Schizosaccharomyces pombe: one gene and its partner. Changing the gene in region 1 together with any one later gene gives a genetic interaction. Each region holds a gene or a part of one and is shown on either strand. Other genes may lie near its edges. The genes, in order: ght2 and uge1.

Region 1 (5,082 bases):
AGGCATTCTCTACAATATCGAAGACATTCAACGTATAAAGGTTAGTCTTGATTCAAATACTTACCCTTGTAATTTCAATTTAATGTTAGACAAAGTTATTGCCCCAACGTCTCTGGAAAACGCGGATGCAAATTGTGGAGGAGGCAGAACTGGAAAAAGTATCAGCCAATCATCAACATGTCTGAAAAAAAATTCCAAGATATTTCTAAGCCTAGCTCGTAAAAACGGGTGACAAGACATGTATGGCGCTATCGAAGTACGAAAATAGAAAATTGCCAGACGATATTAGAGTAAAAGACACAAAAAGAATTTCATTTATTCACCCTATTATAATTTTTCAGCTTTCATCAATGTATGCGTACTAACTAAAAAAATTATCGGTGGTCATTTAAAAACAACAAAACCATCCAGCATTCATCACATGTCTTTCATCCAATCAAATGTAGTTATAGCTATTATCGTCCAATAGATTGCAGAGGCGGGATCAAAATCCCCTTAGGCAAAATTGGTAGGCTTCTCCACAGTTTTTCTCAGACTTGGGAAGAATGGAGCGGGGTAGGGAAATATAGCAAGACCCTGTCTTACAATGATTGGGCAAAAGCTTCACATATATGGGAGCAATATATGTACAATAGGCGCTTTTCACGGACATAGCAAACCTTGTTAGTAATGAGTTGGGCGTATTTAAGGAGGTCCCAAGGCCTCAAAAGTCGTTTACCAAGTTCATAACTTTTTAGGGACTACGTTAGTTAGCGATGAATTAGTGATGATTTAGTGTGCAGCGTTTACATTTTCTTAACACAGACAATTGCAGTACGGGTTACAGCTCCATATTTCTTCTATAGTCCGAATGAAGTATGGGCGTACACGTAATCAAGGGATAGAAGTATCCTTTTACACCGAACTGTTCAAGAGCGAATATATCGCTTGAGAATTCTGTTTTTTTTTGAAAAGGTTCATTGTCCATCCATATTTACCTTCTTGTTAGGGAGTCTCGCTAGGATGGTTGGTGTCGCGGTCGATGTATGGTCTCCAGGTTGGGGGCCCCTAGCTATCCTGACTTGGATAGGACAGAGATAAGATACACGTTGCGTGACGTTTTCTTAAAAAAAAAGAGCACGGCTATGCTCTATTCATGTTACTAGTTAATACTAGAGGAACTCCGCATTTAGGTTAGTTCCGTTATGGACTCGAATATGTGGAGCTCGAGAATGCAAGCAATCGAAATTTGAAGGATTATGGTTCCGTAACGTTAATTGTTCTATTGCCAGCTTTGAGATAGTCATGCAGCGATGAGAGTATGCTGTGTTTTAAACTTTGATATTTGCTGGTTCCAATACGTATGGCCACCATTGGTATTATTTTTTCGCCTTGCGAATTAATTTTACTGCAGACACTTTACTTCTTTTGCCTCAGGAAACGTTTTTTTGTGTTCAATCTTGATTTAACGATATGAGGAGTATAGAAATATACTTGGTTTTTTCGGTTACTTTGCTAAAATTATTGACGTTGGAATACACTCTGTATTTGCTAGCAGTCCGAACTTGCAGCCTCGGTCGCCAAAGTATTTAAATTTACTTTACTTTTGAGAATTATTCCTACATCACATTTATTGAAAGTCGTTTTTTCATCCTGTTATCGGCTTTCTACCTCACTAATAGTGTCTTTCCCCAGTATATGCATCAGTTTCATTACGTACAGTGTATCATTTTACGATTGAATTTTTTTTTTTGCTATGGAGAATTAATGATATCGTGACATTTTTACCTCGTTCTTGACTTTCAACGAGCTGTTGATCCTCGTCATACACGTCGTTTAAATTCTATTCCACATCTTATTCGTTCTTATTTGTGTGTGACTGCGTTTTTTTAAGTCGGCGTCCAATGATACAAGAGTTTGCTAACTACCTTGTTGCCCTTGTAATATTGTGACGTATAACCAAAAACTCTCCGGCGATCCTGTCTAAAATTTCACTGAAAGCAAAGGACTTTTGATACTTTTGTCGGGGTTTCTCTTCCCGAATTTAGTATAAAAGCTGCCCTCTTGACTGTTAAAATCTTTACCTAGACCTATTCTTGCTTTTTAAGTGCAAGAGCAACTTTAGTCTTCATTTACCTAAAAATCCTTTCTTTTTTTGGTTAAACAAGAACGAAATCCAAAGAAAGCTCAATAAAAGCATTGTGCTTTCCTTGGTTACCCTTTCTTTATACCGATTTTGAAAATACAAGCTCTCTGTGCTTGAAAATCATAATCTAGATTAATTTTTCTTTTAATTTTTATTTATTGAGAATCTCTTGTCAAGATCTCTAACTCATAAACTGTCTGTTCTTTGTTCTATCATTTCTGCTTAACGTGTTGCAACTGAAATAGACGTGTGGTTAATTTTATTCAATCTTTTATTTTCCACTTACATCCTTTCTATAGAATTTTTGTTTTTTTTCATCTTTATTAGATTCCTTTATACTTTATCAAAATGGGGTTCAAGCGTGGAAAGAATTTTACCCTTGTTATGTTAATTTTCGTCTCCATGGCCGGTTGGATGTTTGGTGCTGATACCGGTTCCATTGGTGGTGTTACTAGTATGCGCGATTTTCGTGAGCGTTATGCTGATAGATATGACCCGATCACCGACCAGTATTCTTTGTCTTCGGCTCGTCAAGGTCTTTTAACTGGTATGGTTAACGTTGGTTCCTTGTTTGGATGTATCATTTCTTCTCCCATTGCCGATCGTTTTGGTAAGAGACTTTCTATCATTGGTTTTTGTGCTGTTTATATCATTGGTATCATCGTTCAAGTTACCGCTGTTCCCTCTTGGGTACAAATCATGGTTGCCAAGATTTGGACTGGTATTGGTATTGGCGCTCTTTCTGTCTTGGCTCCTGGATATCAATCAGAGACTGCTCCTCCCAGTATTCGTGGTACCGTCGTCGTCACTTATCAGTTGTTTGTCACTGGTGGAATTTTCATTGCCGCTTGTATCAATATGGGTACTCACAAACTTCATAAAACTGCCCAGTGGCGTGTTTCAATTGGTATTAATCTCCTTTGGGGTATCATTACCATGATTGGAATTCTCTTCCTTCCCGAATCCCCTCGTTATCTTATTCAAGTTGGCAAGGATGAAGAGGCTGTTAGAGTTCTTTCTGAAAGTGCTGAGCTTTTTCCTGATAGTGAGGAAGTTCAAAATGAATATCACCGTCTCAAATCATCTATTGACGAAGAATTTGCTGGTGGCCCTTGCAGCTGGGCAAGCATTTTCGGTAAAGACATTCGTTATCGTACTTTCCTTGGTATGTTTGTTATGTCGCTTCAACAATTGACCGGTAACAACTATTTCTTCTACTATGGTTTCTCAGTTATGCAAGGAGCTGGTATTAATTCTCCTTACCTATCTGCTATGATTCTTGATGCAGTTAATTTTGGCTGCACTTTTGGTGGTATGTATGTATTGGAAAGGTTTGGTCGTCGTAACCCTCTTATCATTGGTGGTATTTGGCAGTCAATTTGCTTTTTCATTTATTCAGCTGTCGGTTCTCGTGCTTTATATCATAAGAACGGTACTTCAAATACCCGTGCTGGTGCCGTTATGATTGTCATGGCATGTCTTTTCATTTTTGGATTTGCTCAAACTTGGGCTCCTGCCGCATACGTTATTGTTGGTGAGTCATACCCTGTTCGTTACCGCTCTAAGTGTGCTGCCGTCGCTACTGCTAGCAACTGGCTCTGGAATTTCCTAATTTCATTCTTTACTCCATTCATTCAAGCTTCTATTGGATTCAAGTACGGTTACGTTTTTGCTTCTTGTAATTTGACCGGTGCAATTGTTATTTTCTTGTTTGCTAAAGAGACTAAAGGTCTTACTTTGGAAGAAATTAATGAGTTGTATATGTCTGTCATCAAGCCCTGGGAATCTGGTAACTTTAAGCTTAACTATTCTGAGCAAAAGAAAGTTGAGAAAGAGAAATCCAGAAAGGGCGGTGCCCGTGGTGAGTCTGTTGAGTATGTTGAGCGTGCTTCAAACACTGACTCATCTCCACAATACTCTTCCCATGAGGAAGATTACGCATAAGGCAATAGCTAAACGTCTTTGTATGATTTATGAATTGTGTGAGGCAGCTAGATCCAAAATTTGTTGTTCCGATTCGTTGGGTCTATATATTATATTATTAGCTAAGTTTGGATTGATAATTTGTTAAGTTACTGTGCATCTTAAATCTAGTTTTTTGAGATTATGTTCGTTTGCATATAATATTAGATACATGTGCATTCTTTGTCCATTTTTGTGTTTTTGTGTTCATTATAGGAAATAATATTTTTTATACCTAATTAAGTTTTTGTTGATTCGTTGCTTAGTAGCTAAGTATTTCCAATGTTAATAAATATTTGTAAATGTTGAAGTGAGTCATGTTTATACAGTGATTTGTAGTTGAATTTTCATTATATTAGTAAGTCTGTTACAGAACAATAATCATTTTACGCTTGTGTATCGCCCAAATGTACTTTATTAGTTATTAATTTTTAAATCAGCGTTGCGGGCAGTGTCGTATTATTCTGTATGATACGATTCGGCAGACTAATGTACTGCACTAAACTAATATTGTAATTTATTTAAGTTCAACCGAATACGGCTGAAGAAAGTATATTTCGTTGCTGTTCGATATTTACATTTTATCCTTACGCGCTTTTATACTTGCGAACCAAAATGGATTATGGGGATATTTACATTGCAGAGGAAACAGAATGGGATAAATATAATCGTCAAATAAATAAAAATCCAGATGATTTTGATGCTTGGTAGGATGTTGTCAGATACAACTTATTTAGTGCTAATTATGATTTAGGGAAGGACTGGTTCGTGCTTCAGAACATCTTGAGGGAGGTGTTGGCAGAAACTCTTCGAAACAGGCTATCAATACATTAAGAAGTGTGTACGATCGATTCTTGGGAAAATATCCGCTATTGTTTGGTTATTGGAAGAAGTATGCAGATTTTGAGTTTTTTGTGGCAGGTGCTGAAGCATCAGAGCATGTATGTACACAAGTATTATGCGATTTGTTATTTTTCTAATAAAAAAATAGATCT
Region 2 (4,604 bases), 900 kb from region 1:
AAGCTTCGCGCAATAAATAGGTTAGGATTTTTCGTGCCACAGGATCACCCGCATATTTCGTAAGACTTTCGGTCAAAAAAGAAATGACTTGCCCACCTTTACAAACCTTTTTCTTAGACCTAGTGGCATTAACAACATGTGAAATGTCATTTCCTTCATTAAGTTGCTCTAAAAGATCGTCGATGTTACTAAGACCTAAATCATCGCTGCTGGAAGCATTCTTTTCCATAGACAAAAGCAGGTCACGTAGAATTAAATACACTTGTCGTAATGAACGCGATGTGGGAAGAGTATAAAGGCGAAGAGTTTGAAGAGAAAAATTTGGATCAATTCGGCTCTGATTTTCACACTGCATGATAAGTACCACGTAGTCCATCACAAACTTTCGCAAAGCAGCGCACAATGCGTGGTTAACAAATCCGTATTCAAAATGGCTTCTCGATTCTATAAAAGCTGTGATACTTAAATAATGAGACCCCATCTCTAACATCTCAGAAGCAATATCCTTTATACCTAAATCAAATCCAGGAAGAATATAAAACGATGGCGGCATAATAATGGTTTCAAACTCAGAGGATGCTTTCATGTCTTGGAGATGTACAAATACACCCTCCATGCCCATAAATGCATTTAAGAGTTCGTTTATGAGACATGCTTCCTGCTGATGGATATTTAAGTTCGAAGGATCGCTAAAAGTCTTCCCATCGTAAAGATAATTTAATTGAATCCTATCAGAAAATGGAGAAACACCTTCACTCTTCAAAGAGACATGATAAACGCTCCCTTCCTCGAGAGCTGGAATTGGACTCCCATTCTCGCTTTCTTCTTTAGCAAGCACCGAACTAATCGATCTCACCATTTAAAGAGTCTTTTTTTATATAATCTACAAAAGTGTGAACATTTATTTAATATTTAGTGCTCTTTGTAATTATTATTCGGATATGCTTGTTTACCAGCAGGCCAGTTTTAAGATGTAGGTTGGTAAGTATGCGCCAGCTAACAATCAACGCAATTTCAAAGCAAACCAACTCAGGTCCGTGTAGCATTAAAAAATGCAAAAAAGTATAAAAAAAATTAGTCAAAAAATACATAACTAGAAGACTGCAGCATTTTCTATTGTAAGACTACCGTAAACTCAAAGGACCCCAAATACTCATTCGAGTATATATGGATAGCAGTAGACAGTGACAAATTCTATATGCTAGAGTTTATTTTGAATGGATAAAAATTTTAGATCCTAAGCTTGAGGGATTTATTCCCTTCATCTTTTTTTTTTTTTTTTTTTTTTTTTTTTTGTTGTGTTTAAATTTTTTATTCTAATGCAGACTACTTCGCTTTATTTACTAGCCAGTAGGTAATATTTGCATAATAAAAGCAATAAATTTAGCTCGGTTTTATGTTAATTATACATTTACTTGTTATTTCTTTAACAAAATAAATTTTTTCAAAAATACATATAAGCATCAATGATTTATTTACAGATAAAATGCTTTTCTAGGGAAGCAAGGATTTTGTAGTCGCATGAAGCTGGTGGTGAAATCACAAACATTACATCTATCAAAGTGTATATTGGTTGTAAAATCTCGAGTTCATCTTTTAAAAAAATAAATACAAAAAAAAAATTTATTGGTAAATGCACATACATTAAATTACTACCTCAATGCTTTATGAACATGAAAAATCCATACACCTAATCACAGGCATTCATCTGCTATACACTTATTCCGACGACCTCTTTGTTACTATATAATATTATGATTAGGAATTTTTTAGCGATATATCAATAAAATGGTTTAGCGAGATATACAAGCACTTTTCACTTTTAGCTTAAGCTTCATTGTGGCTTTTGCTCGTTTTACATCATGTCAGGTTACAGGAGGTAACGACCTGCATTGATACCTTGAGCATGTAGGAAACTGAATATCCAACAAAGAAAGAGCATAATAGCTACAGTCTTGAGCCCACCCCTTTAATATCAAATTATAACGTGTAAAATGGTATGAATAACTTTTTTAATTAATCAAAAGCATTCTTTTGTATGAAAATACTAATTATGATTCATAGACTGGTGTTCATGAAGGGACTGTGTTGGTTACTGGCGGCGCTGGTTATATAGGTTCTCATACGGTACGTAGAGAGCTTGAAGATACAGAAGAGGATTAGTAATGTACATGTAAATGTTTTAAGCACGCATCTTTTGTGAATATAGCTTGCTGCTCTTTACTTTTATACAATTTCGTCCATATTCTATAAAGCTCTTTTTTGAGATATTTTGCTAACCACAATCTGCAATAGTGCGTTGTTTTGTTAGAAAAAGGATATGATGTTGTAATTGTCGATAATTTATGCAATTCTCGCGTTGAAGCCGTGCACCGCATTGAAAAACTCACTGGGAAAAAAGTCATATTCCACCAGGTGGATTTGCTTGATGAGCCAGCTTTGGACAAGGTCTTCGCAAATCAAAACATATCTGCTGTCATTCATTTTGCTGGTCTCAAAGCAGTTGGTGAATCTGTACAGGTTCCTTTGAGTTATTACAAAAATAACATTTCCGGTACCATTAATTTAATAGAGTGCATGAAGAAGTATAATGTACGTGACTTCGTCTTTTCTTCATCTGCTACCGTGTATGGCGATCCTACTAGACCTGGTGGTACCATTCCTATTCCAGAGTCATGCCCTCGTGAAGGTACAAGCCCATATGGTCGCACAAAGCTTTTCATTGAAAATATCATTGAGGATGAGACCAAGGTGAACAAATCGCTTAATGCAGCTTTATTACGCTATTTTAATCCCGGAGGTGCTCATCCCTCTGGTGAACTCGGTGAAGATCCTCTTGGCATCCCTAATAACTTGCTTCCTTATATCGCGCAAGTTGCTGTAGGAAGATTGGATCATTTGAATGTATTTGGCGACGATTATCCCACATCTGACGGTACTCCAATTCGTGACTACATTCACGTATGCGATTTGGCAGAGGCTCATGTTGCTGCTCTCGATTACCTGCGCCAACATTTTGTTAGTTGCCGCCCTTGGAATTTGGGATCAGGAACTGGTAGTACTGTTTTTCAGGTGCTCAATGCGTTTTCGAAAGCTGTTGGAAGAGATCTTCCTTATAAGGTCACCCCTAGAAGAGCAGGGGACGTTGTTAACCTAACCGCCAACCCCACTCGCGCTAACGAGGAGTTAAAATGGAAAACCAGTCGTAGCATTTATGAAATTTGCGTTGACACTTGGAGATGGCAACAGAAGTATCCCTATGGCTTTGACCTGACCCATACCAAGACATATAAGTAAACCATACTCTTCCTTTTCGGATTAAGTGGGTTTTAAATAATTTCCTTCTCTTTCTTGATTCAAATTTGCATAATATGTTTTAGGACTTATGGATTCAAAGACATTATAATGTATTGTTTGATGAACCCTTTTCCCTTTCCTGTACCTTAATTGTTTATTGTAAGTGCGCTCGAGCTATCGATTAGGTCGCTAATAATACCGGTTTGCGAATAACTTATGTTTTAAAAGGGATTTAACAATGAAGCTTATTTCAAAACAATCACTTTCGGTTTACATTTTTATTTCTTTCTTTTGCATACGCATTTTCGTCAAGTTGACATTTTTTCTAATATTGAAGTTTCTTTATATTTCACCTTTTAATTGTATTTTTTTATTCAAAGGTTCTACTTTGTCAATCATTTTCAATTCCTATTTCGATATAGCTTAGATTTTACAATAATACTTGTTATAATACTGTCTATAACTTTTACGTTAGCCGAAGATTAGAAGTCAAGCACCGTATTGAAATCAAAATTATTAATAATGAGTAAGTGAATATATACCAAGGTTGAATGTTTTTTAACTTTTTAAATAGACAGTTATGAGATTTGCACTTCATGACATGCTAGATTAGCGTTTTTTTTCAAATGAATTTAAATTATTCGCAGCTGTTCAATGAATGTAATCGTATAATTAAATCTTAAATCTTTAAACAGCTGTGTGTTTGATTGAATCCACATTCGTCCTCATGTACTCATAGCTAGGTGAAATATATTAGGCTTTCAGTGATTCGGGATTCCAAACTACACTTAATACCCCCAACATCAAAAATTACGAAAATACGATTAAGCAAATAATATTTAAGTGGATATAATGACCAGCAAAATGGAAAATAATAAAGATGAAAGCATTTCTACCAAAAATGCGTTAGAAGAAAAATCGAACGAAACAAAAGACGAAACTTCAAAGCGAAAGCACGATCCGGCAGAAGAAGAATCAGCGGTTTCCACTAAAGTCTCGAAGAGTGAACCGCTGGAAGATAAAGGGAATGCTGAAGTTAAGGAATTTAAAGAGACTACGAAGAGCAATGGCGTAAAACCGGAGGTTGAGATTACTGAGTCTACTAAAATCCAAAAGGAATCAAACACGGAGCCATGTATCTCAACTGGAGGTAAGGTAGAAGAAAAAGAATTGAAGGTGAATAAGGATGTTGATGAAAATGAGGGACACGTAGCTGTAGAGACAGGCAAAAAAGAATCGGCTGCTAAGCCTGCCGCGAGTGTTTCTCCCTTTTCACAATTTGCTTCATTCTCTAATGCCTCGTCTCC

What was found.
Region 2: mutations in ght2 (region 1) and uge1 impair growth when combined (synthetic growth defect), as found in Schizosaccharomyces pombe (one study listed by BioGRID).

The regions. Positions count from the first base shown.
Region 1 is NC_003423.3:3,425,099-3,430,180, forward strand, and holds ght2 (plasma membrane glucose/fructose:proton symporter Ght2), read left to right. Parts: upstream 1-2,061; 5' UTR 2,062-2,473; coding exon 2,474-4,069; 3' UTR 4,070-4,326; downstream 4,327-5,082. Other genes in the region: U1 snRNP-associated protein Prp39, read left to right, coding at 4,703-4,794, 4,842-5,028, 5,079-5,082. UniProt on the Schizosaccharomyces pombe protein: High-affinity glucose transporter.
Region 2 is NC_003423.3:2,520,316-2,524,919, reverse strand, and holds uge1 (UDP-glucose 4-epimerase Uge1), read left to right. Parts: upstream 1-1,929; 5' UTR 1,930-1,994; coding exon 1,995-1,997; exon of another isoform or gene 1,998-2,064; coding exon 2,065-2,127; exon of another isoform or gene 2,128-2,168; intron 2,169-2,295; coding exon 2,296-3,297; 3' UTR 3,298-3,797; downstream 3,798-4,604. Other genes in the region: gamma tubulin complex GCP2 subunit Alp4, read right to left, coding at 1-859; Ran GTPase-binding protein Hba1, read left to right, coding at 4,150-4,604. UniProt on the Schizosaccharomyces pombe protein: Major UDP-glucose/-galactose 4-epimerase under glucose-rich conditions involved in protein galactosylation.